4 linked regions of the Pelodiscus sinensis genome follow. The protein of the gene in region 4 interacts with the protein of the main gene of each other region in a biochemical or structural test. Links are inferred from orthologs where the notes say so. Each region holds a gene or a part of one and is shown on either strand. Other genes may lie near its edges. The genes, in order: RAD54B, RAD52, FBH1 and RAD51.

What was found.
Region 1: the proteins of RAD51 (region 4) and RAD54B form a complex in vitro, tested with the Homo sapiens proteins (2 studies listed by BioGRID). The link is inferred for Pelodiscus sinensis from reciprocal best matches to the Homo sapiens genes RAD51 and RAD54B.
Region 2: the proteins of RAD51 (region 4) and RAD52 form a complex in vitro, tested with the Homo sapiens proteins (6 studies listed by BioGRID). The link is inferred for Pelodiscus sinensis from reciprocal best matches to the Homo sapiens genes RAD51 and RAD52.
Region 3: the proteins of RAD51 (region 4) and FBH1 form a complex in vitro, tested with the Homo sapiens proteins (2 studies listed by BioGRID, with this or other methods). The link is inferred for Pelodiscus sinensis from reciprocal best matches to the Homo sapiens genes RAD51 and FBH1.

What each region holds. Positions count from the first base shown.
Region 1 is NC_134712.1:40,512,465-40,520,402, forward strand, and holds the start of RAD54B (DNA repair and recombination protein RAD54B), read left to right. Parts: upstream 1-4,555; 5' UTR 4,556-4,649; intron 4,650-4,660; exon of another isoform or gene 4,661-4,800; intron 4,801-4,806; exon of another isoform or gene 4,807-5,326; intron 5,327-7,938. Other genes in the region: RING finger protein 151-like, read right to left, coding at 4,007-4,015. UniProt on the Homo sapiens protein: Involved in DNA repair and mitotic recombination. May play an active role in recombination processes in concert with other members of the RAD52 epistasis group.
Region 2 is NC_134711.1:108,172,214-108,180,677, forward strand, and holds the start of RAD52 (DNA repair protein RAD52 homolog), read right to left. Parts: upstream 3,242-8,464; 5' UTR 2,975-3,241; intron 2,894-2,974; exon of another isoform or gene 2,662-2,893; intron 1-2,661. UniProt on the Homo sapiens protein: Involved in double-stranded break repair. Plays a central role in genetic recombination and DNA repair by promoting the annealing of complementary single-stranded DNA and by stimulation of the RAD51 recombinase.
Region 3 is NC_134711.1:3,369,271-3,376,835, reverse strand, and holds the start of FBH1 (F-box DNA helicase 1), read right to left. Parts: upstream 3,106-7,565; 5' UTR 2,964-3,105; coding exon 2,951-2,963; intron 1,609-2,950; coding exon 1,444-1,608; intron 1-1,443. Other genes in the region: ANKRD16 (ankyrin repeat domain-containing protein 16), read left to right, coding at 5,615-5,642, 6,010-6,364. UniProt on the Homo sapiens protein: 3'-5' DNA helicase and substrate-recognition component of the SCF(FBH1) E3 ubiquitin ligase complex that plays a key role in response to stalled/damaged replication forks.
Region 4 is NC_134714.1:63,240,182-63,247,856, forward strand, and holds the start of RAD51 (DNA repair protein RAD51 homolog 1), read left to right. Parts: upstream 1-4,367; 5' UTR 4,368-4,509; intron 4,510-4,665; exon of another isoform or gene 4,666-4,883; intron 4,884-5,485; exon of another isoform or gene 5,486-5,537; intron 5,538-6,539; 5' UTR 6,540-6,566; coding exon 6,567-6,653; intron 6,654-7,675.

The sequences.
Region 1 (7,938 bases), on a different chromosome or scaffold from region 4:
CACACCAGTCATGACACCTCACTTCTCTGGTGCTCCAGCCCTATGAGGCGAGGAGAAAGGACAGAAAAGTCTGAGGTTCAGGGTTTCCGAAAGGCCAGATTTATTTTTCTGGGGTGCCGAATTTAGTGGAGTTTGTGGAGCCCATTAAGCTGGGGTGCGGACAAAAATGAAGGGTTCAGTGTGCAGGGCAGGGCTACTAGTGAGTGGAATAGGGATGAGGGTGCAGGATCTGGGGCGGGAAGTGGGGTTCATGCCCCATTGCAGCAGGAAAAGCCTATGGACAGCACGTCACTGCCTGCCCTTCTCCCAGCGAAGCGGGAAGGGGGAGGGAGCTCAGCTCCCTCCTGGCCAGTGAGTAACTCCTGGGCTCCCCACTCCCATGACTGTCCATTTACCTTGCAAGGGATGTTGGCTCCCAACATCCCCCCATAGCGGAACTCTCACTTCACAGGCTATGAGACAGCCAGGGACTGTGCAACATTGACCCTAGGGCTGATTATACAGGGATCTCTCACTTGGTGAAGAGAAGCAACTGGCCCTGGGGTGAGTTAGGGGAGTTGTTTAGGCAGAGATCCTAAACAGGCAGGGAAAAACTGGCAGGGAAAAACTGTTGGGTGACACTGATCTCAGTTCCCAAATGAGATGCTAAAGGGGTCGATGTTCTGTCCCCAACTGGGAAGGAGAGGTGGGGGGGCTGCGTTCAAGCCAGGGACCACATGGGAGGAGGCTGCAGACCACTTGGGGTCTGCAGACAGCACTTTGAGAACCACTGATATAGAAGCAAAAAGATATTCTCTGTCTATCCCCTTTTTAATTATTCCTAACATTGTTTGCTTTTTTTGACTGCTACTGCACATCTGTGACCGTGCACCTGGGGTGGACCTGATGTCCTGGGTCCCCAGCCCCTCACAGTTATGGGCGTCCCGCCCTCTCATGCCCAGCCGACTAGCTCCTCGGCAGCTGGTGGCGTCAATAATCTTTGACTGTTGTCTCGCTGAGTCTCTCCTCCACACGAGGCAGAGGAGAGAGGGGGGCCTGGGCCCACCCTCACTTGTGGGCCCCAGCCCAGGGCCCTAATGACTTGGACCATGCTGCGGTCCAACTCCGGCTGACGGGGCCACTCTCCTAAACTCGTCAGCCCATGGGCTAAGTTCACCGCCCTGCCCTGGGCTACTTCCTCTCTCCTCCTCCTCCAGTGCAGATCACCCCCCTGCCAAGGCGAGCCCTTCCGGCTCCCATTGCTCCCTGCGGAGCTTCGCCTGGCGCCCCCCACCCTCGCCTGGGTCGGCGTCTCTCGCCAGCCCCGCCTGCCTCAGCGCTCCTTGCATTCCTCCCCTCTCTCTGCCCAGGAGGCTTTTAAATCTCCCGCTGCCCAGGACGTTAGGCCGGATGTCACCCTGACGTCACCAGCGTAGCCCTGACCCCACGCCAACGTGACACGGGGTTGACTCCTCCCCCTTCTCTGCCACCAGGCCCACGCTCCTCAGCAGGGCCGCAGCACCAGTGCATCCGGCGCACGGCCGGTAAGGACTCCCTGGCAGCGCCAACAGGGCATTTACCCCCTGGGGTCCAGTGCGGGCTCTCGGGGCCCCATCACAACATCGAATAGCTGTTTTCAGAGAACTATCCACAATGACTAAGATATTTATTGAATGGTAAATGCTAATTTAGTCCCCACATTTTATATGTATAGTTGGGATGTTTTCCTATATGCATTACTCTGCATATATCAACATTAAAATTCATTTGCCATTTTGTTGCCCAGTCACCTAATTTTTGAGATCCTTTCGAAGCTCTTCACAGTATGCTTTGGATTTAACTATCCTGAGAAGTTTTGTATTACTTGTAAATTTTGTTCCCTCACTGTTTACCCCTATTCCCAGCCAGTTTACGAAAATCTTGAATACGATAGTTCCCAATATAGATCTCTCAGGGACACTACTAGTTACCTCTCTCCTGACTATTTATTCCTACCTTTTAATCAGTTACCAATTCATAAGAGGACCTTCTAAAGGACAGCTTACTTTGCGTAAGAGCCTTTGGTGAGGGACATTGTTATGGGCTTTCTGGAAACCTAAATCTTCTGGATCCCCTTTGTCTACATGCTTGCTGACCCCCTCAAAGAACTGTAGTAGATTAGTGAGGCATGATTTCTCTTTTACAGAAACCATTCTGACTGTTCCCCAACAAATTATATTCATCTGTGTGTTTGACAATTCTGTTCTTTTGTATATTTTCAACCAGTCTCCCAACTACTAAAGTTAGACTTACTGACCCGCAATTGCCAGAATCACCTCTAGAGCACCGTTTAAAAACTTGCATAAGATTAGGTATCCTCCACTAATTTGGTACAGAAGATTATTTAAAGTGTAGGTTACAAACCACACTTAGTAATTCTGCAATTTCACATTTGAATTCTTTCAGAACTCATGGATGAATGCCATATGGTTCTGGTGACTTGTTACTGTTTAGTTTATCAGTTTGTTCAAGAACCTCTTCTAATGACACCTGAATCTGGGACAATTCCTCAGATTTGTCACATAAAAGAATGGCTCAGGTTTGGGAATCTTCGTCACATCCTCAGCTGTGAAGACTGATGCAAATAATTCATTTATTTTCTCCTCAATTAACTTATTGTCTTGAATGGTCCGTTAGCATCTTGATCCTCCAGTGGCACCCATTGGTTGTTTAGCAGGCTTCCTGCTTCTGATGTATTTACAGTTTTTTTGCTACTTTTTGAGTTTTTGGCCAGCTGTTTTTCAAATTCCTTTTTGGCTTCCTAATTATATTTTTACAGTTCATTTGACAGAGCTTATGCTCTTAATTTCCTCACTAGGATTTAACTTTCCACTTTTTAAAACAATGCCTTTTTTATTTCCCACAGCATCTTTTACTTGATTTTTAAGCCAGTGTCACTTCTTTTATTCTCATACAATGTTTTTTTTAATTTGCATTATATATTTAAGTGGAGTATTATGGTGTCTTTGAAGAGTTTCCATGCAGCTTGCAGGGATTTCACTTTTAGTACTTTACCTTTTATTTTCTGTTTAACTAATCTTCTCATTTTTGTGTTGTTCTGATTTCTGAAATTAAATGCCACACTGTTGGACTGCTATAATGTTTATTCTACCACAGGAATGTTAAATTTAATTATATTGCAGGTCACTATTTCCAAGAGGTCCAGTTAGATTCACCTTTTGGACCAGATCCTGTGCTCCACTTAGGACTAAATCAAGAATTGCCTCTACTCTTATGGGTTCCAAAACCAGCTGCTCCAAGAAGCAGTCTTTTAAGTTTCAAGAAACTTTATCTCTGCATCCCATCCTGAGATGATGTGTACGCAGTCATTACATTTTCAACAGAGCATATACTTACCTTTCAATATATATGAAAAAAATACCACTGAAATTTAGAATCTTCCACTGTGCATAAGTATAGAATGCATTTTTTAAAGTTAAACTCATTTTCCAACAACTAGAGTCATACTACTTTTATACACTATAAGATACAACACAAATTTGTGTTATAAGATGTGCATTCAGTAATTCTTCCTGCAGCAATTTACAGATAGGAGAAAAGCTATGCTTTATAATGAAAACTTGAAATTTCATTGATTTCACTAACAATGTTAAACTGCGAACTGCTCCTCTCTGGCAAGACTTGATATCACCAGCTGAACTCTTCCTCTCCCACCTTCACTTTTAACACTTTTCTTACAATTGTGAAAAGGTGAAGGCTAGCAATATTACTGCAATACTTCAGGGTTTGTTTTTTTTATACTGTTGTTCGTTTTAAAACAAGTTTGGAAGCAAGGTGTAATTAGCAACATTTCAATGAACGTTAGTTCCATGCATATAAAATCTGATCATTTTACACACAGAATGTCAACACAAAGGGGAACAAATTCTTATAAGCTACTGCATGGGGGGAAAGCTTATACTTTAAATACAGTTCTTGTAATTTAAATTACTTAACAGGTAAAGTTTTTAGAAGTTAATGTTCTTACAAACCGCATCTGGGTCACTGGGTGAGACACGGATGGATCTGGAGCCGAGGTGCCTGGCCACCAAGGGGAGGAGAGTCAGGGACCTGGATGAACAGAGGCTGCAGGCAGATATGCAGCTCGGGGCCACACCCTGGGTCTTCCCCACCTCCGACGTCTCGCCGACTGACCTCCCCCAGGCCGCTGCCAAGCATCACTGGCGACCCCCTTAGTCACAGGGTCAGGGCCAGCGAAGCCCGCCCCTCGGCCAAGCCACCTTAGCCGGTCCGGGGCCAGTGGGCTCGCGGCCCCCTCAACCCCAACCGCTGGAGAGGGGTCCCACGCAGGGTTAGCCACTCGCGCGTCCCTGTCACCCACTTGCCCGCCCAGCGGGAGATCACGCTCCGCCCCCCCCCAGACCTGCGGCGCTTCACGCTCTACCCCACCCCTCGCTAATTTGGTTGCCAAGCACCGCCGCAACTATCGCAAACAGTAGGCAGTGCATTTTGCGACTGCTATTGCTTGACGACTGTGTGTCACACCAGGAATGACCCTAGTAGGACGGCCATACTGTGCGTGGCAGCTTGCGCAGGCGCAATGCAGCCCCAAGCAAACGTCGAGAGGGAGAGGCAAGTGGGCATGCGCGGACGCAGGACAGCCGGCGGAGGTAGATGGGTGCTTTGACACATGCGCGGTTGAATGACGGTTGATGTCGGGCGGGAAGATGTGCGGAAGTGTGGGAAGGAGGGCGCATGCGTCTAGTGGCAAGTGGCTGACGGGAGCCTGCGGCGGGACAGTTGAGTTGAGCGTCCCGCTCTGTGAGTGGGGCAGGGGAGCTCGGGTGCGCGTGGCAGGGCCAAGCGGCGCAGGCTGTTATCTCCCTCCCGGCCGGGAAGCGCACATGACGTTCCCGCCCGCTGCCCGGGGGCGAGGGCAGTACGGAGCAACCCCGCTCGGTGCTCACACGCTGGCCGGCCGCAAAGGCTCAGTAGCAAGGGGCCCGGCCGTGGCCCCTGTGGGGGGAGGGCACTGGTGGCAAGCTGAGTAGCGGAGCCCTGCTCCTGTCAAGTCTGCCCTGCGGGCAATAGAGCTTTGGGCATCGCGGCGCGTTCCCCCAGCCCCTCAGGAAAGCGACACTTTCAGATTCCGTTTGGGAACTTGTAACCTTGCAGGTGTCTGGAGCAAGCTTAGCGCAAGGCCTAGCACAAGGCAAGGAACAATAGTGTGTACTTAGGACAAGACTGGCAATCGCGCGTTTCCAGTTTTCTTCCAGCCACTTGTACTGCAAAATTAGACAAACTCTGCCTTCTTCTAAAAATAAGATCTACTGTTCTTTGTTACGAGGTAAATGATACACAACCAAATACATGTGTGTGTGTCCAGATACATGTATAAGTAGACCACATACCTACTGGGTGTGGTGTACTGTTCCATGTGGTGACACAGATTAGAGATGTAAATGGTTAACCCACACCCTTAACAGGTGAGGCTTACGAGTTCCAGTTAACTGGTAGGGGCTGGAACAGCTCCCCACTCACTCTGGGAAGGGTTCTGCTCCACTGGGTCCACCACAGGCAGGGGCTGATCTGGCAGCCTGGCCACAGCAGCCCTTGTCCAAGGCAGGCCTGGCCTGGGTGGCACGCCACAAATTTCACACTGGCTCCCTGGGAGTGGGGCTTGCAGCCCTTCCTAGCCCCTCTCCAGGGGTACCTTTGCTGCAGGCTCTGCAGTATAAAGCTTATATATAATAGGGATGTATAAATGTGTAACTGCTAAGTATTTCAGCAGGAGCTGGTGCTCATGGGGAGCCAGCTTTTAAGCTAGCTTGCTGCGAACACTGGCTCCTGTTCCCCTCCCCTCTCATCCACCCAGCTACCTCTGTGTTGGAGGCACAGAGGCTTCTGTTGACCCCCCTGCTACTACCTCTGGGAGGAAGCAGTGTGGGAGAGGGACAGGTGGGTCTGTGGATACTGGCACATGCGGGGAGCTGGCTTAAAAGCTGGCTCCCTGCATATACTGGCTCCTGCCTGCCCCCTCTCCATGCTGCTGCCTCTGTGCTCCACGTGCATTGGCTCCTGCCTCCCTCTCCCCCCATACTCATTGGTTAATCATGTACTAGGATACATGTTCATATCCCTGATACCTTTATCTTGCATAGCCAGCAGCACAAATAACCATTTAATTCAGTGTTTCTCAAAGTGGACTATGGGCTCTGCAGGCCTGGTGCCTTATGGGTCCCATTGGCTCTGGTTCGCTGTTTGCAGCCAAGGAGAGCCCACTTTGAGAGACATTATGTAATTGCTAGGATTTATAGTGGTTACACTATTACATTATTTGACTTTCTACATCTCTCGCTGAGACCACTTACAGAGAGCACAATGAGTCTGCTCTGCAGCCTTTGCTGAGAACCACCTGTTCTCAGCTCTTGCAGAGATCTCAGGTTCAATTCCATCATACAAATGGAAATTAAAGTATTGCACCCGTCTTGAACCTCTAGTATAGGCAAGAAGAAATAGTGCTGCTATCAAAGATCTCAGTCTCAGGCATTGATGAGAAGTGCATTTGTATAGTTGTGATCTATTTCTTTGTGTTCCTAGACAGTCCATACATGTTACTTTTAATTAAACCTTGGTAAAGTTGTGGGATATAAAGTGAAATTTGACAAAATCTCAAGGACTCCTGTGGCACTTTAAAGATTAACAAATGTATTCGGGCATAAGCTTTTGTGGGCCGCTGCTCACTACATCAGATGTATGCAGTGAAAGATTTAGATGGGAGGGATTTATACATACATACAGAGATGAGAGTATTACATCAGTGCTAATTCAATCAGAATGAATGTGGCCCACTTCTAACAGTGATAAGGTGAGACTACCTAAAGGTATTGTAATTTGAGAGAGCCATGGCTAATCATAGAACACTAGAACTGGAAGGGACCTCGAGAGGTCATCGAATCCAGTCCCCTGCCCTCATGGCAGGACCTGTATCATCTAGACCATAATAAGTTTGTTAGTCTTTAAAATGCCACAGGACTTCTTTTGGTTTTTGCTAAAACAGACTAAGAAGGCTACCTCTCTGACAGTTGGCAAAATCTCATTCTCCTGATTCATTGCCATAGAATCTTTTAAATCTGCACTGATCCCGATTACTTTTTTTCAGTGGACTTTGTCTGTCTCTATCAATCTAATATCCATGTACAGTTTGTTTAAAAAAAGGTAATTCTTATTCTGTTCATCCCTAATGTACATCTTGCCCTTGGGAAGTGCATCGACTTCTCAGGTAAAAATAGAAATGTTAATGTGCCCTTGCACTCTCATTTCCATTCAGGCCCCCTACTAGCAGTCTGTGACACCCCCACCCCCGCAGCTCCATATTCCCCACTTTCTGTCTCAGGTCCCCCATATCCCATGCTGCCTCACCTGGCCTTATGGGTGGGATGCTGTGGGTCTAAGACACCCTTTTCTTCCTATCCACAGAGGTTTGCTCCTGCTTGGGAACAGTTGCCCTCGCTTCTGGTGTCACAAAATCCCCTGGTGTTTGAAAGGAATAACTGCAGCACCTCTCTGGCAGAATGTATATTCCCCTGAGGGGAAAAAAAATTCCTGGGATATGAATTTTGCACATACACAGAATTCCCCCAGAAGTAATAGTAAAAGACAATCCTTGCTCAGAGCTTACAATTTAAAGAGATTGTTCCTAAGACAACATAGAGTGTGAAGTATAACCCTTGTAATTTGTAATAAAATTTACTGGTATCATTTTTATTGTTACAAAAAATAGTACATTTTAAGACAAAAATGTAGTTCACCTAAATCTTTCCATAGATGCCTACAGATACCTGCATGAGAGCCATTTAAAGGTTTTTAACAGCAATAAAGGAACTGAGATAGAATTGTCAATAGTCAAGAAAGGTAGTCACTACTTGCAAGAACAGAGTCATAAGAAGAGGCTTGCAA
Region 2 (8,464 bases), on a different chromosome or scaffold from region 4:
AGTCATGTAACCACTTGAAATCTTTTGATAGTCCCCGGGCGGAGAACGGGGAGCTGGCAGTCATGCATTCCTGGGGAGCCCCTTGCTATCCCGCACTGCTGCTTCGCTATCAGAGCCAGCAGGGATGGCAGGGGGGAGCCAGTCTGCGAGGGAAGCCAGTTTAAAAAATGAGCTCCCTGCATTGACGGGCTGCTTGCTGCCCCATGCTGATGCCTGATGCATAGGCAACAGCGCAGAGTGGCAGCAGCCCCTATCCGTAGAGCTGTGGTTACCAACCCGTTGATCGCGATCGACTGGTCGATCGTGAGGCCTCGACCAGTTGATCGCGAGGCGTTCGGGCAACCCCGCCCCCCATTTTCCTCCCATCCCCGAGAAGCCCCACTACCTATCTCTAGTGTAGTGCCGGCTTCCCGCGGGGTGGACGGAAGTCCTCTCTGAAGCCCGTGTCACTTCCCCCTCCCACAGTTCTGTTGTGTGCTGGGGAAGGGGGCGTTGGCCCTAGAGGAGGAGTGCGAAGGCTTCCCTGCGCCGCAGGAGGGGTGAGTTGGGCACAGGGGTTTCCCTGCGGCGCGGGAGCAGGAGTTGGCCCCGGGGTTTGGCCACGCTGCGGGAGGGGAGGGAGTTGGCTGGGCCAGGCCGCTTCGGAGAAGGGGGGTTTGACCCCGGAGCAGGCGCCCGCGGGGGTTGGCCATGCTGCAGGAGGGGGTTGGCTGCGCTGCGCCGTGGGAGGGGGGTTTGGCCCTGGGGCAGGTGCCCACAGGGGTTGGCCACGCTGCGGGAGGGGAGGGGCTGGGCCGCGGAATGGGGGTTTGGCCCGGGCCGCGGAATGGGGGTTTCGCCCGGGCCGCGGAATGGGGGGGTTGCCCCCGAGGCAGGCTCCCACGGGGGTTTGCCCCCGCTGCGGGAGGCGGGGGTTAGCCCCGGGGCAGGCATGTGCTGGCTTCCTGCAGGGGGGCGGGGGGAGGAGGGAGGGAGAGAGAATCCTGGGAGGAGGCAGATACAGGTGACTCTGCTACCACTGGCACCCTGTCCCCAGCTACAGAACTCTGTCCCCACTCCCTGAACTCTGTCCCCATTCCCGTCCCCTCTCCCCGAACTCTGTCCCCACTGGCATCCTGTCCCCTACTGCAGAACCCTGTCCTCTGCCCTCCCAGCTCCCTGTTCCCTCTCCTCTGCCCCCAGTCGCAGAACTCTGTCCCCACAAAAAAAATCGATTGTGGGCCACAGAAAGCCCCATAATGGGGGAGGCATAGAGGCTTAGGGCTCCATAAACTTAATTTGCCTGGAGAGGATTATATTGGCAGGAGGGTGGTTGTGTTATGTCAGTTAAATTATTATTACTCATGTGAGTAGCTTTTTCCACACCTCTGAGTGATGCAGTTCTACCAATACTGTAGATGTCTGTAGCGTAAACTAGACCTGAGCCTGTGTTGTAAAGTATTCTGTATATTAGACCAGTGATTCTCAACCAGCGGTATGAGTACCCTTAGGGATACTTGAGAGAAGTCTAGGAGGGAGGAAGGGGGAAAAGGATTCATCAAAACTGAATTTTTGTTTTAAGTTTTACAAGGCTTTATTATTTTTGTACTTTTTACACTCAAAAATTTCATCGCCTACCCAGCTACCATTAAGTTGTTTGAACAAATGTGTTGCAATGGTAGAAAAACATTGTGGCTGTGTCTAGACTGGCCAGTTTTTCCAGAAAATCAGCCGCTTTTCCGGAAAAACGTATCAGCTGTCTACACTGGCCGCTTGAATTTCCGCAAAAGCACTGACTTCCGACTGTAAGAAATCAGTGCTTTTTGCGGAAATACTATGCTGCTCCTGTTCGGGCAAAAGTCCCTTTTGCGCAAAATGGCCAGTGTAGACAGCTGAGATTTGTTTTGCGCAAAAAAGCCCCGATCGCTAAAATGGCGATTGGGGCTTTTTTGCGGAAAAGCGCGTCTAGATTGGCCACAGACGCTTTTCCGCAAAAAGTGCTTTTGCGGAAAAGCGTCTGTGCCAATCTAGACGCTCTTTTCCGAAAATGCTTTTAACGGAAAACTTTTCCGTTTCCAGAAAACCATGCCAATCTAGACGTAGCCTGTGTGTGTCTGAAAACTGTACGTACTGGGGGCACATATATATATATATATTTAAAGGGAGTTTTTTTTTTTTCAAAGGGGTACTTTATAAAAAAAAAAGGATGACAAAAACTGTATTAGACAACACTTGTGTTGGGCTGGGACACAGAAGTGAAGTGTACTGGCCCCTTCCAACCCCCCACCCCCGCCGTTTCTATTTTAATGGTCACACATGACACGACCCAATGCAGACACATCCTCATCAGCCTGTAGCAGTATCGCCGAGAGGTGTGAATTACTTTATCCCCCTCAGCGGCCCTATAAATGCCCACAGCACCAGCTACTTCACCCCCCTTCTAAGAAAGAAGCAGGAGGATCCCACGTCTATTGCGGCTACCGCTTGCCGGGCTCTTAAGGGGACGGGCTGTGGGACACGCCCCTGCTCCTCCTCCTCTCGCCGTCGATCTGACCGACCTACAGCGAAGGCGTCTCATGTCGCCAGCTCGTTGTTCGGGACCGGGGGGCGACGGCTTTACACTGGGGGGGGGGCAGGGGACCCCCCCCGGTCGCACCCTTCCTTCCCCTCCCGCTGCGTCACCTGCAGCCGGACTGTCCCGCTCCTTGGTCAGCGCCGCGCGCGGGAAGCCGTTGCCGTTACCCGCCGCGATGCCCCGGTAGCGCCGTTTCAACCCCGCGACCCCCGCGCGCTCGGCCGGCTCCGGAGGGAGGTGGCGCCGCGTCACTCTCCGGCCCCGTGGGGTGGGGTGGGGGGAGGGGAGCAGCCGCGTCTAGAACCCGCCCGCCGCGGCGCGTTGGGAGTGCGGCGCTGCCCACAGGAGCCCGTCAGCACAGGGGTGTGGGCGGAGGGGGGGGGACGACCCCTCCCCCCGCGCCACTGGTTCACTCATTACCTGTACGTGAGTGGGGGAGGGGGGGGGAGCTGGGTTCCTTTCTCCAGCGGCAGCTCTACCCTATCGACAACGCGGGCAGGTTACGGCAAGCGGGAAAAGACAAAATTCCCGCCCACACCAGACGCGCCGGGGACGACGTCGCGCTCGTGCCGCCGTCTTCCGCGGCCACTTCGGGGCGCGCGCACGCAAGGTCCGAAAGGAGCGGGCTAGCGGTCAGGAGACGCAACTGCTTCCGAAGGGCTCTCGCCCGCGCGGCGCCGATGATTCAGGCGGAGAGGCCCGCGCGGGGGGCGGAGCTTTGCTGCGGCGCGCAGCGTAGGGGGCGGGGCAGGCGGGGCTTGCTGGGCTCGCGCCGGAGGCGGGACTTCGTAGCGGCTGGAGCTGGGGGCGCGGGAGCGAGCCGAGCGTGAGGGAGAAGCGGGTGGGGAGGAGTCGAGCCTGCCTGGTGCTGCCCCCCCCCTCGCTCCCCTCCCCGTCGTTGACAGGCAGCAGCCGGAGCCACCGGGCGGGCGGCAGGTGAGAGACGGGGCCCCAAGACCCGAGGGGGTGGGGGGAGCCTGGGCGGGGCCGGGGGCCGCTGGCTGCGGCTGAGGGGGGCAGGATGCGGCCGGGCTGCGCGGCTGGAGCCGGGGGGCGGCCTGGTACTGAGGGATCCGCCGCCGTCGCCAGCTCAGGTGGGTCTCGCCCGGAACCCGCCGCGACCCCTCCCTTTCTCCCCCCACCCCCTACTCCGCGGGTGGGTGGCTTGGCTGCAGGCTGGGAGAGCAGGGGCGCTCGGGGCGGGGGCGGAGGTGGCTGGGAGGGAGCGGTCTCTGCTTGGCCCAGTCTCCTCTCTGATGCTGGGGGAGGCGCGGGGCCTGGGGCAGCTGTGCCGGCGCCCCGCATCTCCTGTCCGCACCGTGTCTGGCCGGGGTGCTTCCTTCTGTCCTCACATAGCCCCCGCCCCCTGCGGGACAGCCCGAGGAAAGGAAAAGCCGGGGATCCCATCGTGGCAACGTGCCTGTTTTCTCCCGACACACAGACACAAGGGGGTCTGTGTCTCCTCTGGTGACATTGCTCAGGGCTTGTGGATGTAATAAAAATATATTGAGTCGTATTTTTGTGTCCAACCAAGTAGCTCTTCTCTGTGTCCTCGTCTCCTCACCAACCTCAATATTGGCTGTTATTAACTGCATGTAATGTCTAATGTAAAAAAAAAACACCTTTATTCTCAAATGGGGCAATCATGTTATCTATGGTATGGATGTCAGATACCCCTTTGCCTTAGGTATTTTATCCAAACCATGCTGAATCTAAAGGTTTATTACTAAATTGAGTTTTTAATTTGTGGTGGTTCTAAATTAACCTCCCAAATGAAAAGTGAGCTTGTTCCTAGAATCCTCAGACATCCTGAAACAATAGCTGTGGGAAAAGTGAATTTTCCTGTTCTCCATATCACTCTAACTATGGTATTTAATCTAAAGGCCAATTATAAAACAGTACATGCCATCAGCTAATTGTATCATGGATCATTTAATTATAGGCAGTGGGGAATGGTGTAGGAGTAAAGCTTGAAGGTTTTAGGCGAAATTTGGGAGTGGCTTTAAGGTAGCTTGTGCAGAGATAGAGAAAGAGAACAGAAGGAGTCACCAAAGACAAAGCAGTAGGGAAACAAAATAAGGAGGATGGTAAAATAAGCAGAATTATCAGTGTTGTAAAATGTCATATTTGGTCCTAGATTATTTTGCAAACCTTCCCTTTGATATTTGTGGTTGAGTCATAAGTGTAGAAATATGCTGTCAAATTCATTCTTTGAAGCTGACTCCCCATAATGGTATTATCAATTTGTCATTCAGTTTATTTCTGGGTAGGGTTAGATGAGATGGTGCTAGTTACTTTTTGGAGTCTTTAATAACCAAGTTAATTATACTAATATGGCTAGCAATATAATAGTGGTCATTATAAATATAACTTGCACTAAACACAGCCACTTTTGGCTAATCTGGGATTATTTGTAATTGTGGAGCTGTGTGAAACAGTACACCTTTAGTGACAGCACTGCCCAAGGATATGAGAGAGAGCATGGTTCTTGAATGCCACTTAATATGATTGGATCTTTTGTATGTTGGCTGACCAAAGTTTATTGAAACAAGTTTAGCTGTAACCAAGTCAAATATATATGTTACTGAGGGTGCAACTAGACTGCATTGCTCTTTCTGGATACCAGAAGTATCTCGAAATAGCATTGCCACGTCTTTAAAAGCGCCTGCTATTTCCTGAAGTAGTGGGTGCGCTATTCTGGTGTCCCTGTAACCCTTGCTCCATGAGAGTTAAGGGATTTGTCAGAATAGTACGCCATTTTGAAATTTGGCGCTGTGTAGACAGCACCAAATTTCAAAATAAGTTCTTTCAATTTACACTCGGAATAAGTTATGCAATTTGTGTACTACAAATTGCATAGCTTATTCCAGCAAAAGGGAGCTGTCTAGATGCACCCTAACAGGCCCTGTTTATGTTGGAGAACTGCTGTTACAGAATGCTTTACGTTTTTACGCAGATAAGTAGTAGCTGTGTCTCTGGTCATGCTGTAAACTTTTATTAGGCTCTTACTTCACCAATGATTGGGTAGTGGCATAACTGGTTAAAAACATGGTTGGTGTCCACATGGCTACTAACTTGTAAATCTTAATCATGGAGCCCCCTTTGGGGAAGCAAGTCCGAACTCCACTCCTTCTGCTCCCTTCTCTTTCCCAATGGATGGAGCCCTAAAATGCTCTGTCACTCCTTCCCTCTCGTCTGGAGGGCTGGCTGCAGCCCCAAGTCGGTCCTGGCCCCTTACCCTCCGCCTCGACATGCTCTAGGCCAGTTGCAGTTGTGTATCTGCTTCCCACCTCAGACTGGAGCAGCCCTAGGGAAAAACATCTCTTCAAAAGTTATTTTTGATATGCTCCATGCAGGATCTGGAGTAGTGGAGGCAGCAGTATTTGCTACTCAGCTTCCTGGGTTTCTCAGTCATCTCCCTGTAATGAAGTTGCAAATATGGTACCTATTTTTAAGAGGGCGTAAAATAAAAATTGATCTGGGAAACTACAGGCTCTTTAGTTTGATCTCAGTTATATTCAAGGTCTTAAAAGGGCCCTACACTGCGGTGCAGAGGAATGTTTGGTGGTGATATGGCGGGGTCACGCCAACCCTCAAAGGGAGATAGGGATGGCATGCTACCTGGCCTCTCACCGCCTCCTGCTCTGCTCTGGTCCCACCCCCAAATTGAGCTTCAGGTCATGGTTCTGTTCCTTGTCTGGGGACAAGGCTGGGGGTGGAGGTAGGCCAGGAGTGGAGCTGGCCCCTACTGCTGTTCCCTGTCACAGCCTTGCCACTGACTCTGCTCCTGCCCCACTGCAAGTCCCAGCACCATCCCAAGCTGCAGCTCCAGCCTTCCCCTCCTTCCCAGCTGAGCTATGTCCCCACTCCCAGCCCTGGCTCTAGAGAAGGGGAAGGGGCTGGGGCCACAGACTGGGATTGGGGGATGCATTGCCCTCAGAAGTTTGGATACGACTATCTTGGAACACATTTTGAAAGGGAAAGTTGTTAAGGACATAGAGGTAAACGTAATTGGAATGAAATGCAGCATGGTTTTGCAGAAGGTAGATCTAGCCAAACCAACCTGATCTTTCTGCCCATGGTCCCACCTCTTCCGGGATGGCCTGTGGCCACTTAGGAAATTTGTGAAGTGCCCCCCACACCAAATATTGCCCATACCTGTCATACCCCCTCCTGCATCCCTAGTCACAGCCCTAGACTCCCTCTCAGAGCCAGCCCCCCATACTTCCTCCTGCACTCCAAGCCCCAAGCCTGAGCCTGCTGTCAGAGCCAGCACACCACATCCCTTCTTCCCCTTCAACCTCCTGCTCAAGTTCAGTGAAAGTGAAGGAGAAAGGGGAGCTGGAGAGAGCATGGAAGGATAGGGTTGAGGGGAGATGGAGCAGGCAGGGTTGCTCTTAAATTCAAAGAGTGATCTTGGGCATAAAAAGGTTGGAGACTACTTCTGTAAGTAACCCAATATGAGCTCTCCCTGTAAGCTGTGCAACCGCTCCAGAAACATTTAAAAGCTGCCCAGTTGATTAGCAGAGCACCTGCAGTTAGGTTTTTGTTTCTATTAGTGGTACACATTCGTACATGCCTCGGTGCACAGATAAAAATGTATTCCCTAAGGGTATGTCTACATTGCATTCCTCGTTCGAGAGAGGAATGCAAATACAGACAAAAGAAATGGCAAATGAAGCACGGATTTGAATTTCCCACGCTTCATTTGCATAATCGCGGCTGGCAGCTTTTTCTAAATATCCTATTTTGAGAGAAAAAATGCTGTTTAGATGTGGTTATTTTGAGAAAAAACCCGTCTTTTGAAATAACCTTTACTCCTTATAGATTTAAGGGTTATTTCTTGAAATGCGTCTAAACAGCGTTTTTTATCTCAAAATAAGATATTTCGAAAAAGCGGCCAGCAGCAATTATGCAAATGGAGCACGGGAAATTCAAATCCGTGCTTCATTGGCAATTTCATTTGTCTGTATTTGCATTCCTCTCTCGAAGGAGGAATGCAATGCAGACATATTCTAAGACAAGTGGATGGAAAAGATTAGAGGGAACATTGCCCAGTATTGGATTATCTACCTGTGTGAATGGGCTTCCTTTTTCCTACCACTGTAACCAGTAAATCAAATCCTCTCTTCTCCACTTATGATGTCCAGTGATGCATCGCATCCTGTACTTTCCCACACATGAAGGGAATCACTCTGTGAGTCTAACCCTTGGTAAGTGCGCTGGAGAAAGGCTCTCCAGCGCACTTACCTAGTTATGTTACCTGGAAGTAGGCATATTAAAATGTGTTTATTTTGGTAAACATGTAACTGCTGAAATTTTCAGTGGTTACACATTTATGTGCGGAGCCACCTCTTTGCATGAGAGGCAGTAGCGCATGGATACGGAGGTGTCTCTGCGGGAGCTGGTACGTGCGGGGAACCAGCTCAAAAGCCGACATCCCACGCCTACTGGCTTCCACCTGCCACCCTGTGCAGCACTGCAAGGAGGGCAGGTGGGAGCCTGTGCTTACAGGGAGCCATCTGTTTCCACTCAGAGAGAGAGCATGCAACTGCATCATAGTTGCTGAGGAAATATTTTTGTTACTCTGTGTGAGCTATGAGAATGAAGAACATGTTGCTGCAAACTTCTAACAGTGGTCCTGATAAAATTCTGTTCTGAAGCTTCCCAGTACATTTTGGTGATTAGAAGTGAGAGAATTATTTTAATCAAAGTTAATATACCATTTGGTTTTCATTCCTGTTCTCTGTGGATGCCTGGAACTGTGGTGAGCTCCCCACAGGTAGCCATGGTTCCCAGTATTTGCAAAGTTCATCACCAGGAATGCATCCATCTATGGCAGTGGTTCATAACCTTACTGCAGCCTGCACCCCTTTGGTTCTCAAAATATGTTCTCACACCCCTTATTAA
Region 3 (7,565 bases), on a different chromosome or scaffold from region 4:
CAACTTAGCCTCTCTTCAGGCTCCCAAGCCACTTTGGAAAAGGAAACGTGGGTGTTTGTGAAAATTGTACCTCATGTGTGGAAGATGGGCATAATAATTAGTTCCCTTCTTCACTGAGAGGCTGTGAGCATGTATTCGTTAATGCCATTAAGTGCACTGAAATCCCTGAATGGAAGCTGGTACAGAGTATTAGACAACAAACACCGAGAGATCTAATTAAATAAGAAGGCGTATTAAATAATGAATATGCAGGAGTGTCTCCATAAATGCGGGAACAAAATACAGGACTATGTAGCATTTTAAAGACTAACAAGATGGTTTATTAGGTGATGAGCTTTCGTGGGCCAGACCCACTTCCTCAGATCAAATAGTGGAAGAAAATTGTCACCGCCATATATACCAAAGGATACAAGTAAAAAAAAGTGAACACATATGAAAAGGACAAATCAAATTTCAGAACAGAAGGGGGATGGGGGGGAAGGTAAATGTCTGTGAGCTAATGATATTAGAGGTGATAATTGGGGAAGCTATCTTTGTAATGGGTAAGATAATTACAAAGATAGCTTCCCCAATTATCACCTCTAATATCATTAGCTCACAGACATTTACCTTCTCCCCCCCCCATCCCCCTTCTGTTCTGAAATTTGATTTGTCCTTTTCATATGTGTTCACTTTTTTTTAAATTGTATCCTTTGGTATATATGGTTGTGACAATTTTCTTCCACTATTTGATCTGAGGAAGTGGGTCTGGCCCACGAAAGCTCATCACCTAATAAACCATCTTGTTAGTCTTTAAAGTGCTACACCAGACTAACACGGCTACATTTCTATCACTATTCCATAAATGCGGATACTGCAGTATCTATTGCTTAGAGCTCCCATTGGCAGCAAGCAGGCTGGCCTACCGAGGCTGGTGTGCGCACTTCAGCTTTTCAAAGCTAGAGAAAGGCAGGGGGGATTTGAAGTTGGGGTAAAACAGGAGTTAACCCAGGCTTGGTGTAGGACTCACCCCTTCTTGGGAGGGGAAAAGACTCCTGACGCTGAGGCCAGGCCTACGCTGGCAGATAAAGTTGATGTAATATACGCAGTTCCAGCTATGACAACAGCATAGCTGGAGTCGACTTACCTTACACTGATTTTCTGGGGCAGCCCCACAGCAGAAGGTCAATGGGAGAAACGCTTCTATCAACTTCCCTTACTAGGAGTACTATGGTCAAAGGAGGCCCTCAGCTTTCGATTTAGTGGGTCTTTACTAGACTACAATATGGGTGATTACAATATGGATCAATCAACTTCTTTCCTTGTGGACAATTAGCCCTTTCCCGCTGCTCTTCCCTCTGTACCCGCTCATAGAAATTGGGGTTAAATTCTACTTGTTGCACAGAGTTGATATTAACATTTTCTCTCTCTCTCAGCTCTTAAACCTGTTTAGAAACACTCTACCTTCTTGTGATCTCTTGGTCCTGTATGTTGGGTAGAGGCCTCTGTTTAGATCTCTGCTCACTCGTCTTTGACTGAAAGGCTGTGTCAGGGAACAGGAGCCTTCTCTGCTCTGCCTGAAGGCTTCACAGTCGCTGGCGGTGAGGCGCTTTTGTTTAAATGGTTTCACTGTCACCAACGTGAAAAGCAAATTGCACGGTTGTTAATTCAATTACATTGATGTTTGTTTTCAAGTGACATGCTGTGCCTTTGGTACACACCTACAGCCAATTAGTTTCCTAGCTCTATGGGATGATCCCAACATTGAACCAATGTACCTTCTTTCAATTGCCTATGCAGAAATATATGCAGACCCCTGACGATATTCTGTAGAGTAAAATAAAACATCAAGACACTCTGTACTGTCCCAGACTAAGTTTACACAGTAACATCACTCTTGGTGTCTCATTCATCACCGTACAGAACTTTGGGGTATCCTCCAGTAAGCAATTGCTACGTCACTGTAGCACAGACAGCTACTGTAGTGACAGGAGTTTTGCCAGTGATGTAGTAAATTTGCCCCCAGGACAGGAAGTGGCTAGATCAATAGAAACAGACGTGTCCACACCTGGGTTTAGGTCAGTTTAACTCCATTTCTCAGAGCTGTGAGTTTTCTACACCTCTGAGCAACGTTTTGGGATCTGGTTACAATCGAAAAAATAATCTAATGTAGATGGGTTTTCAAGCCAATTGCACAAAAAAGCTAAAGCGTTGGACATGTCCAGACTAGGGATGTTAAAGACTAGTCAACTAGTCGACATCCTCCCCCTGCTGCAAAGGAGGGGGGACTTTATGAAACCCCAAGGCAGCCGCTGCACAACTGATACGTGGATCAGCTGTGTGGCGGCTGCCCCTTTAAAACACTGCCTCCGTGCATTTCAAAGGGGCAGCTGCTGTGGATTGAGAGTCCCCTGCTGACCACAGGCTCCATGACTTTGAAATGCACATTTCAAAGCAGGCATGCCCCAGAGTCAGCGGGATTTCCGCTGGCCCCAGGCTGTACAAGGAGTTCCGCATTCCTCCTTTGAAATGTAGAAGAGCCACTGCTGGGGCTCTTGTACATTTCAAAGGAGGAATGCGGAAGTGCCTGTCAACTAGTCAATTAACCGCATTTTAACATCCTTACTCCAGACTTGTTAAACTTCAGTCTACACTCAAAACTGCAAACTCGTAACTGGGCCCCTACTCAGATATATTTGCAGTGTAGCTCTTACCTCTACAGTTGTCAGTTAACTAGAAAATCTTGCGAGCAATATTTAAATGTTCTACTGTAAATGCATATGTGCAACAATACCATCTACTTTGATAATAGGGACTGGCAAGGATAGATAACTTAATGTCCAGCTATAGAATTATGAGTTAATGATCATGTGCAATAATCCTTCCAGATGCAGTAAAAGCCTCCAAGCCACACTGCTTACTTGGCTTCAGTTTTTAATCAGAGAATGATATCCCATACCAGAAACCATACCCAGGATATCCATGAAGCGAGTAAGTGCTTTTGGCTTCAATTAGCATCCAAAGGTCAAGTCATTTTCTTTCATGTCTTCCTCCCCTCAGAACTATTACATACACCACTAAGAGCTTTAGCAAAGACCCCTGGGGTATGTAATGCCTTATACAACCACCACTTTGCTGTCCCAAAACATACCAGAAGCAAATGTCTACAGAGGAAATATTTGCTCTTCAAGATGAGATCCTTTGAAAAAAATCCACTTAAAAATTATTTCTCTCTTATTAGGAGAGTAGACACAGAATTCAAATTGGGAAAAGGAACTAGTCCAACTTTAATCATTATTATCAATAAATCATAACCTATTTGCTTCAATGGTTCAAGATCTTAAATATCCCAGAGAACAGGATCAAGCGGCTACTTCTGCTTTGGCCATGACCTTGGGAACTCCACCCAGGGCATTAACTGCCTTTACCTGCCCATGCCTATTCCTGGCCCCCAATGCAAACCCACCCCAGATCCTACCCCTGGCCCCAAAGCAGAACCTGATCCCTGTCCCCAATGCGTAATACCCCTCTACCCCAATCCCCGCCCACAGTGCCCCCCAGGCCCAACCCTTCCCCTCAATACAGACCCCTCCCACCATCGACCCAGCCCCCTAGCCCCCACCCCAGTGAACACCCCCACCCCATGGAATGCTCCTGCCCCCAATGCGCCCCAGGCCCTAGCCCCGCCCCAATGCGCCCCAAGCCCCCCCCAATACGAGCCCCCTCTGGCCTAGCCCCGCCCCCAATGTGCCCCGATACCCTAGCCCCGCCCCCAATGCAATCCCAGGCCCTAGCCCCGCCCCACTACGGAGCCCCCTTAAACTGAAGCCCCGCCCCCAATGCGCCCCGAGCCCCCCATACGAGCCCCCTCCGGCCCAAGCCCCGCCCCCAAAGCACCCCGAGACCCTAGCCCCGCCCCCAATGCAATCCCAGACCCTAGCTCCGCCCACTACGGAGCCCCCTTAAACTGAAGCCCCGCCCCCAATGCGCCCCGAGCCCCCCATACGAGCCCCCTCCGGCCCAAGCCCCGCCCCCAATGCGCCCTGAGACCCTAGCCCCGCCCCCAATGCAATCCCAGACCCTAGCCCCGCCCACTACGGAGCCCCCTTAAACTGAAGCCCCGCCCCCAATGCGCCCCGAGGCCCTAGCCCCGCCCCCAATGCGGATCCCCACAGGCCCTGGCCCCGCCCCCCAAGGCGCCTCACTCTGGTCCCGCCGCCGTTCGGGGCCTGCGGGGGCAGCGCCGCGTCCCGACTCCGACCTCCTGCCCACGTACCCCGCTCGGACTTCCTGGGAGCCCGCCCCTGCCGCTGACTGACTCGGCCGCCCGCCAATCAGAGAGCGCGCAGGCTCGGCGCCGCCCAACCAGCCCCGCCGTGGCTCCGGGAGGGGCGGGGCCACGTCGGCCCCGAGGGACGAGCGAAAACGTTCCCGGAGTTTGTTTACTTCCTCCGCCCGCTGTCCACTCTCCCCCTGCGCCGGGCGTCCCCCGCGGGCTGTGACGTCACGCCGCGGTGTGTGGGCGGGGTCAAGGCGGGCGGGGGGCAGCGTTACCATGGCGATGCCCTCGGTGGGCCCGCCCCAGGCGGGGGCCCCGCTCTCAGCTGCAGGAGGCGATGAGCCGAGGGACTTGCCCCAGCCGGGCGGGGACTTGCGTTAGGGGCTGCAGCGGGCCCCGGTGCCAAAGAGAAAATGGGACCCCCCCCTTGCCCCCCCCGCCCAGTGCTGTTGCCAGTCGCTGCGACTCGGCAGCCCCCCCCCCCGCCTCTCCCCTACAAGGGGCTGGCCCCTCCCTTCACGCCGCTTTCTCCCATACCCCCCCCCTTCTTTTCCCAAAAGGAGGCTTTGTCCTGTTTGCGCTTGGCAACTTCATTAGCTGGCAAGAGCAGACGGGATAAATGCCTCCTTGGGGGGGGGGGGGGGTCGGTACCACCAGAACATGCCTTAAAAAAGCCCCTGCCAAGATGGGACCTGTGGATATGGGCCCCTGCCAAGATGGGACCTGTGGATATGGGCCCCCTGCCAAAATGGGACCTATGGATATGGGCCCCCTGCCAAGATGGGACCTATGGATATGGTCCCCCTGCCAAGATGGGACCTATGGATATGGGCCCCCTGCCAAGATGGGACATATGGATATGGTCCTCCTGCCAAAATGAGACATGTAGATATGGCCCCCTGCCAAAATGGGACATATGGATATGATCCCCCTGCCAAAATGGGACATATGGATATGGGCCCCCTGCCAAGATGGGACATGTGCATATGGCCCCCTGCCAGTTTCATCTCCACCCACTTGCCTAATCTGATCCATTTGCTAAGGCAGATTTAAATCATCCATCTGAGATAGGGAAGCAGCTCTGTTCCAATAGCCCTGCCTGGAAGCAGCGAGCACAGTGCTCCTAAAATAAAGTGTCAGGGCAAACGCTATTTGTCCAAAAGAACACAGCCAGTGTTAGGGGAAGGAATTCAGTGCTGCACGCCCCTGCAGCAGCCGCTCCAGCAGCCTTCAGTGGACGCTGGTGTATCTGATGTGAGCTTTTAATCATGTTAATGTGACACATGAGTAGCTGGGGTCTTTTTCACTTTGTGTAGCTGACCCCACAACCTTTTTTTTACCTTTGGTAACAGGATAATGTTATGGCTGACTGTTGAAAATCCGGGTATTAAATAATAATTGCTGTCTTTATGCATAAGATCCAATACTGATGTTTTTTATTTACTGTGTTTTCAGTTATGGGAGGGGGAAGTATTTTTATTCCTAAAAGCTTTTTTATGACACTGCACATCCACTGGCTCGCAAGCATACACGTCTGAGTTTTCTTGTGAACATTTTAACCCTGTGATGCCAGATATCAGACACTTGACAGCTTTGATTCATTTGGTGGGAGAAACCCGTGTTTTGGATTTTATATTAAGGCTGTTTTTATTATCATAGATTTTCCAAGTAGCGTTTAAAATCTCATCAGTCATTTTATTCTGAAATCTCCCCGTCTCAAACCTTCTTGTTGCTGTTTTTGAATGTCTTAGGAGCCGCACATTTCTCCATGGCAGAAGCAGAAAATCAGAAACAACTTCTCAGGCTGATTCAAGAAGGCAGGCTAGACCTTTTCCAAGAGGAGTTGCAGAAAGACGAAGAAACGAGCAAGGAAGTGAGGCGGAAACACTATGGGAAATCTGCCGACACTGTACTTCACTATGCAGCCAGGCACGGTCACCTGAACATTCTGGTCCATTTAGTAGAAGCCTTGGAAATGGACATTGAGATGGTTAATAATGACTACAAAAGGCCCCTCCATGAAGCAGCTTCCATGGGTCACAGGGACTGCGTGTTGTATCTATTGGATAAAGGTGCAAGGATAGACTGCTTGAAAAAGGCAGACTGGTAGGTCACAGGCATGTTTCTGAGGACAGGACAAGGAGTAATGGGCTTAAAGTGCAGCAAGGGAGGTTTAGATTGGACATTAGGAAAAAATTCCTAACTGTCAGGGTGGTCAAATATTGGAATAAATTGCCAAGGGAAGTGGTGGAATCTCCCTCTCTGGAGATATTTAAGAACAGATTAGATAGACATCTGTCAGGGATGGTGTAGACGGAGCTTGGTCCTGCCTTGAGGGCGGGGGGCTGGACTCGATGACCTCTCGAGGTCCCTTCCAGTCCTATGATTCTATGATTCACTGTAGGATCTCGCTAGTTTTTGAAATGTGTTTGGGAGGAAGAATTGTCGAGTTAGCACATAGGTCAAGGTCTAATCCAGATCTCCCACTAACTCACTGAATGACCCCTGTAAAATTGTGCTGGTTTTCTTGCCTTTAAAATCTAATGAGCACTGAAACTAAAAGGCAGAGGGAATGAGAAATTCATGGGCAGCTAATAATGAGCCTTAATTAATTGATATGTGGAAAACAGTTACAATGGTTAGCAGAATGGGGACCTGATAATACAAATAATGATATGCTAATACAAATAATAATATTCTCAGATGAAAATTGCTGCATCAGTGTAAAATTATATGGCAAGGGCCTGAAGCTGTATTATTCACCAAAGTAGTGGAGGGAAAAGATTTCCATCACATAAGGCACCCTGGAGTTCTCAGCTAATATGTAATGTTGACATTAGAGCATGAATAGGAGGTACTGACCTAATTGTTATAATTATAAATCATTAGTCAGTTAAGGATTGTTGACATTGACACAATACGTGCGATACTTGTCTCATACAATAAATGCAGCTACATTGATATCTTATAGTCCCATAGCATCTTTCATTTGTAAGAACTCCAAAAGCAACAGTGCATACTTGTAGAGCCCTGTGCAGATACAAAATTGGTATCCACCTCCACACGAGGGATGCAAAATTCTGCTTAATCAGATAACCAGTTAAACACTGGCTACATCTATACTGGCATGATTTTCCAGAAATGCTTTTAACGGAAAAGTTTTCCGTTAAAAGCATTTTTGGAACAGAGCGTCTAGATTGGCGTGGACGCTTTTCCACAAAAGCACTTTTTGTGGAAAAGCATCCGTGCCAATCTAGATGCGCTTTTCCGCAAAAAAGCCCTGATTGCCATTTTCGCGATCAGGGCT
Region 4 (7,675 bases):
CCCTTGGAAAGCTGCGGCACTTCCAAGGGGCAGCCTGCATGGAGCTAGGGGTCAGCTGGGGACTCCAGCTGATCATAGAATTATAGGAGTGGAAGGGACCTCGAGAGGTCATCGAGTCCAGCTCCGTCTACACCATCCCTGACAGATGTCTATCTAACCTGTTCTTAAATATCTCCAGAGAAGGAGATTCCACCACCTCCCTTGGCAATTTATTCCAATATTTGACCATCCTGACAGTTAGGAATGATCCTGGGCTCCATGCAGCACTGCCCCGTTGAAATGCCGTGGCGAGGCCATTTCAAAGGGGAGGCGCATGCAATTAGTTGCTCAATTAATCGTGATTAAATGTTTTAATTGCTTGATAGCCCTATAATTAGAAGATCAAGTAGTACTTTCATAGTACCACATATGTGACACTTTACAAATGAGTGAATGCCTCTGCCTTGAGATATTTGAGCTATGTTGGAATGGCATAATGCAAATAAAAGGTAAGAAGTAAAGGGAAGAAGATTGTTCTCTACTTAAGATTCACCCTATTTTCCCCCCTCCCCTGCCCAATTTTATACCACTATTGACTTATGGGGGGGTGGCTCATGAAATACTGACTTTTAAAACCCGAATGTGTGTGTATACATACTGTATCAATCTTAGGCTGTGCTCTCCGGTATTTTACTATTGAATATGTAACAGGCTGTACCCCTTTAAAATCTTCTCAATCCTCTCTATGGATGGCTATTACTGTAGCTCATGTCCACACGCCTGGTAGTTTGCCAGTACTAAAAGACAGATTCAATAAACATCTTAATGGAAAGCATGAAGACTTTGTAGATACTTCTAACAATGCTATCCTGATTAGGCAATACTTTGTCTGGTAGGACAATTTCCCATAAGTGTCTACAGTGACACCATGCCATTACATTTTGTTCTAATAGCTTTCTTGTCCTTGTTGATTAGGAGCAGATGAATGCCATAAAGATCTTGGTCATTCTAAGATATGCACCACTGATATGTAGATATTCCTATTTAACTGCAACCATGCCTTGATATTCTTATTACAGGAAAATTGTTATATAAATCATGAATAAAGTGGCTGTGGCCCCTTACCAGATGTGTCTAACTGAAGGTTCCTTTTAGTTGACTTGTGTGTTAGATCTTTTCAAGTATGCTAAAAGGACAGCAGGGGTGAGATGGGGGGGAAAGCAATCAAATTGGGACAAATTAGAGTGGTATTACTATGATCCTGCATGCCAGGACACAATGTCACTCATTCAAATTTGGCCTAGCCATTCCTCCATGCCAGCAGGCAAAGGGCTGGGCCAGGCTTTATTTTACCCAGGCTCATTGGTTAACCATTCACACAGTTACACTTTCACATTCATATTGGATAGTAGTAGTTACTAGTTATTTGAGAGGTTTCATTTCCTCTGGGAAAATCTTCCACTGTGTACATCCAGTTCAATAGGGTTTAAAGGTTGCCTTTTGTATAGAGAGGAATCGGGAAATCAAGCTGCAGCTATTAATGATGAAGTGCTCTCTTTGTCCTGCTTTGGAGCCAGACCAAGACACTATTTTGATCTCAGTGCGGCATTTGCATATAAGAGGGAAAGCTTCAGTGATTTCATCTAAAGATCTTAGATGAGCTCCCCTCTTAAAAAATCCACCTCCCAGCGACTTCACCCTCCAAGCAGGACAGCAAACTCAGAGACTTGGTCCTTGAGGCTCAGTATCCAAAGTGAAGGGCTCCCTTCAGTACCAGTGAGTCAGGAAAGTACTGCAGCTTTTCTAAGCCTTCTGAGAAGGCTCCAGTACCATCTACCAGAAATGGTCAGCATCAACATAGAAGACTGGTACCATTGAGCTTACCCCTTTTTTTTGGTACCTTATCAGAGAAAAACTGCTGAGAAGTAGGGTAAATGCCTCTTGAGTTGGTGGCTATTCTCCCACAAGACGTAGCAATCCAACAACGACAGTAAACTTTTGTTTTACCACACAAGCTAACAAGTAGTCAGAAAAGCAGCTTCCTCAGTCCTTGTATCACCACTAAACTTAATGAGTGGCTATTTAAACTAGGGCTGTCAATGTGTAGTTGATTACATGACTAACTGATAAGACTAGGCTTATTAATTCTATTGACTACATGTATTTCCCCTCTCTTCTCCTCCCCCCATGCATACACTAGCTCCCTCTGTCAGAAGCAGCAAGGGAGGGGGAGATGAGAGCCAGTGCCTGTGGGAATCCAGCTTTTAAGCTGATTCCACGTGAGCACTAGATCCTATGGAGCCTTCTCCCCTACAGTGTTGCTTCTGCTAGAGAGGCAGCAGTGCAAAATGGCAAGGGGCTGAATCTGCAAAGGTCTCAAGCTCCCCATGGACCCAGGCTGCACTGGCATCCCACAGAGCAGCCTCTGTCCGCAGCAAGCTTGGTCCTGCCTCAACCAGAGGCTGCTCTGCGGCAGCAATACCTGTCTGCGGGAGGCTCAAACTCCCTGAGGACAGAGGCTGCGGCCCCTGCCACCAGGGACTATCAAATAATTGTGTAACTGCTAAATTTAGATATCATCCCTAATTTAAATCCAAACAGATAGGCTTGCCCCCTCCTCAGGTCCATGGCTGCTCCAGCCTGCTCTGCTGACTATCTTCCACAGCTGGGTAGCTATGCTTCACTACAGCAGTGCAGTGGAATGCAGCAGCTGGGGGATGGGGGATGGAGCAGAGGAGGCTCCCACAGCCACCTGAGGGCAGGGGTGGGAAGCAGACCCCTGCTGCTGCCCTGTGCCTTGCCTCCTACACAATCCCCTGGGCCTAGGGTGGCCACTCCAACCTGTCTTATGGATGAGATAGCTCTGGCTACTGGTCCTAATACATGAATTATATTGGCATACAGGGTAACCTGGGCAAGGTAGAAGGGTAGCACCAAGCTCTTGGAAGGGGTGGGGTGTCTCAGGTAGAATGGCACTGCCTGCGGCACTCCTCCCTTCCTTTCTCCTCCCCCCCCATCACTGCTTGTAGTGTGCTGCTTCTGCCTCATTAGGTAGCCCTAAGAGCCACCCAGAGGGCCATGGCAGTGCTCCAGTGGAAATTTTAAATGGCTTGGGGGGGGCTGAACCCCTTTAAATCACCTGGGAGCAACTGCTCCCTTTACATACACTGACACATATGCATCATATTAGTACCATAATCATACTCAGCAAACGATAACTTTTCTATTGACATCTTACTTGATACTTCATATAAGATTTGTTGAAATTATATAACAGTAGTAGCAACAATGATCTACCTGGTCATGTTTCAATCAATATATCACAAAAGACACTTTCTAGTGGCAGTTCATGGAAACTACAGCAGTTTTGACAGCTACCCAATAAATCAATTATTCTTGAATTCACATGATCCCAATTAGTAAATCTGTTCTAATCAAACATGTAGACTTAAAAATTATAAATGCATTAAAAACAGGCTGTTATATTAGAAATGCTGAGATGTGATTGCTGAATTCTACTAACAACTATTAATATCTTCAATGATTATTTGCTATCAAATATAAATAGCATGACATTTCTCTTGAGAATGCCAAAGAAAGGCAAATGCAAAGTGCCAAGTGCAATAAAAATACCATTAAAATAAATAATGTAAAGGCGTGAAATCAAGTCTGGGATGGATTACAAGGGCAAGGCCGTCCTCTTCGGGCAAGCCAAAAAACAATTCACAAATTTGTTAGTTGCTATGAGGCTTTATGCAGACACATGAACTCATAAGTTATTCTTTCAACTGCTACAGCCATGAATGACGACTGTATCATTTGGGGGGAGGGGGGTTGTGTGTGTGTGTGTGTGTGCGCGCGCGCGCGAGAGCGAGCGAGCAATATGTCACTGAAGCGAGTCTTCAGCAGCTCAATACATCCTTAAACCAGGGAAGAGCTGCTCTGGCTAGGCATGGAGGTGCAGCACCACTGCTTAAAACACAGAGCCCTGGATGCTGCGATGCACAGTCTCATCAGGGGCTGTAGGAGCTCTGCTGCAAGCAGGAACTAGGAGTGTGGGGGGCTTCAGCACCTATAGCTGCAGGGCTACACTTTGATTCAATAGCTCTTAGAACCAGCACCCCCGAGTGCAGAGGACTCACCCCAGGTGGGGTCACTGCATCCTCCTGCCCCAGGCTGGAATACATCGCCCTCTGTCCCTAGCTTGGCACAGCTCCTTCCTCTGCCCCTCTTGTGCTTGGCCCCGCCAGACTTCCACCTCTTCGGCCTGCCCTCGCCAGGCCCGGGGAACAGGAGTCAGATGGAATCCCCAGAGACTGGGCAGCAGCTTCAACAGATGTTACTGAGCACGCGCAGCTCTCACGCGCATGCTCAGGAACACCAACTTCCGGGCAGCCCGAAGACAAGGCAGCGCCAGGAAGCGGCGGGGCGACGCGCACGCGTCACGTGACGGACTGGCGGGCTTTTCCGAATCTGCCAGCGGCCGGGGAACGCCAACGGACCGGGGCGAGGAGCCGGCGCCGCGGCGGGGTGAGTGCGGGGCGGCCTCGCCGCCAGGACAGGGGCAGCGCCCCGAGCCCGAGGGGCCTGGGCAGGGCTCGCCCGTCCAGCGCGGTCCGGGCGGTACCGGGGAAGCTGCGCGGCCTCAGGGCCCGGCCCACAGGCCGGTATCACCCCGGGCCGCGCTGGGCGAGCCAGGGCCGCGCTGCCTCCAGTCTCCGCCGCGCTCAGCCTCGCCCGGGCAACCCACTAGCTTCAAAGCTGCGTACGGTCATCCAGGGCTGCGTCTGGGCCCTGCCTGTCCGTTGCTTTTGATGACCCCTCGTTGCTGAACCAAAAATACGAACATTGCACCCGGTCCTGTGCCAGCTCCTGAAAGCGTCACGGGAGACAAGTCAACAAAGGTCTGTGCTCAACACAGAGCCCAACTCAACATGCAGCTAAGTCCTAGGAACTACAAATGGTACTAGGAGAGGAGAGGGCAGATGGGGAATCTTGTCATAGAAATCAGTGATACAGCTGCTTCTGGACTGTCTTGTGCAGTTGCAAACCTTCTGAGAAAAGGGTAATACAGACTTGGAAGGGGTTCAGAAGGTGATCAAAGGTTTGGGGAAAGAATCTCACAAGGGGAGAGATTGTAATTAGACTGGCAGTCATTGCTAATGGATGTCATTGAGGGCAAGAATTTAGCAGGATTAAAAAAAGGGCTTGGAGATCCATATGGGTACATCTGAATGTCCCAAGTTGTCAAACTTTATTATAAACAATTTGGAAGCGATAGTAAAGCTTATGCTTCAGAGACTTAAGACCATCTCCAAATATTAAAGTCCAGGATAAGGCCTGATGGGAACAGATTGCCACATTTTTCTGCAGTGAGATTCTTTCACCTTCTGTGAAGCACCTGTATTAGTCACTCTTGGAGATAGAATACTGCAGTATGTGGTCTTTATCTCTCATCCCATATGTCAGTTATTATGTTCCTTCACATAGATCTCTTTGGTTTCAGAGCCTCCTGGACTTTTAAAAGCAAGGGGTGAAAGTAACTTAGAACTGCACTGGTGAGAAATTTATCACAACCTGTCCTGTGTCCCCCCCCCACCCCCCCGTGGGGGGGGCCTTGAAGCGGTGGGGAGGGTTTGAGATACAACAGTACTTGTAAGAAATTTAAGTGTGGAGTGGAGTGTAGGGATGTGAATGGGAACCTGGTAAGCATCACCATTACTAGGTGATGCTTACCAGGTAATAGTTAACTGGTTCCTCTGGGAGCAGCCCCCCATCCTCAGCCTGCCACAGGCATGGGGGCTGGGAGCCAGCAGAGCCAGAGCCAGCCCCCACCCTAGCATGGGAGCCAGGAGACAGCAGAGCCAGTCCTTTCTCCAGCGCAGGGTCTGGGAGCCAGTAGAGCCAGCCTAGCCTCAGTGTAGGAGCTTGCAGAGACAGAGGGGATGGAGACGTGAGGGCTGGAGTAGTGAGGTATCCTGCTAGTCAGCTAACTGATTAACCATTAGGTTAACCTAACATTTAACTGGTTACCTGAGTAACCTAGATTTTACATCCTTAGTTGGGGGGGTTCAGGGCTTGGGTATACAGGGAGTGCAGGAGTTATGGTGTGGGGATGCAGGAGTCAGCATTGGGTTGTATGAGGGGCTCAGGGCAGGGAACTCTGAATGGGGGATGCAGGAGCCAGGTTTGGTAGGTATGAGGAGGGATCAGGGCAGGGGGTATGAGAGAGGTCTCAGTGCTGAGGGTTATGGTGTGGGAAGTCTGGGCAGGGTGTTAGGATTGGGGCGGGGGCTGCTCAGACTAATGATGTAAAATCCCAATTAATCAGTTAACTGGATTAGATTAACCTAATGTTTAACCAGTTTACCAACTAAAAAGAATCCTGGCCGGTGGACTGCTCCAGTCTGGCTGGAACAGCGTGCTGTCAGCAGCAGGCCTCGGGCTTGGGCTCCTGGGGCCAGAGCAGCCAGTGCTAGGGCTGGTACAAGAACTAGTGGTCTCTTGTAGAAGAGAGGCATGTTTGAGCAGTGGCACCCCTTTTTTGTATTTTCTCTTAGGGGAAGTTGTATCTAATACTTGGTGCAATGGCCATGCAAATGCAATATGAAGCAAATGCAGAGACATCAACTGAGGAAGAAAGCTTTGGTCCACAGCCCATATCAAGGCTAGAGGTATGTAATAAGTAGGGATGTGACAGTCTAAATGCTTAAATGGTTAACTAAGAAGCCCAGGTTCATCGATTAACCTGGCTGACTACATGCAACCCACCTTCTTCCCCCCCATGCTGTGGCCTCTGTATCACAGGCAGCAGCACAGGGTGAGGGCAAGTCTTTGTGGAGAGCTGGCTTTTAAGCAGACTCCCTGTGAGCACTGGGCTCTTAGGGAGCCACCTGCCCCACCATCTTGCTGGCTGTGATGGTGGGGGGATAAGGATGGAGTGAGGGGAGGCAGCTCGGTGGGAGCCAGCTTAAAAGCCTGCTCCCTGTGTGCATAGGCTCCCACAGAGCTGCCTTCCCTCTCAGGTGTAAACGTGCATGTAAAATTTCAGCTGTTATGCGGTTATTAAAAAACCCATTTTTTAACATCCCTAGTAATGAGTGACTAGCTCTGGACCTCTTTGCCAAACAAACCAACAGTCTTTATATTTAACTAGAAGTTGCATTTAAAAGTTGTCACTGACTCTGCCTGTTTGATGTTTGTCAAAGAAGAAAAATCTTATCCAGAAATGTGTATTAAAAATATGAAAGATTAACTTCAGGAATGCATTAATACAAAACACTGTGTTCAGTTACCACTTTGATAATATACTGATACTCCAGGTTTTGTAATAAATGCATTGAAACTTGGGATGTGAATGACTAGTTGACTATCCAATAAGCAAATGCTTGTCAACTAGTCGCTTCCCCCGCTTGCTGCCTCTTCCAAGTGGCAGTGCTGCGTGGAGCCCGGGGTCAGCTGGCGACTCTCCCGCTGACCCTGGGCTCCACAGGGCACTGCTGCTTTGAAACACCATGGGGAACCAAATAAAATTGTACCTGAATCAACATAAAATTAACATGCCAAATATTCTGTTGGAGCAGGATGGACTAGTTTTCCTGAACCTGTATTGCTCCTTCTTCGATAGCTAATGAGTCAAATGGAGCATAGTGCCTTTTTCATGACACGTGGTATCTTTAACACTGATACTAAAACA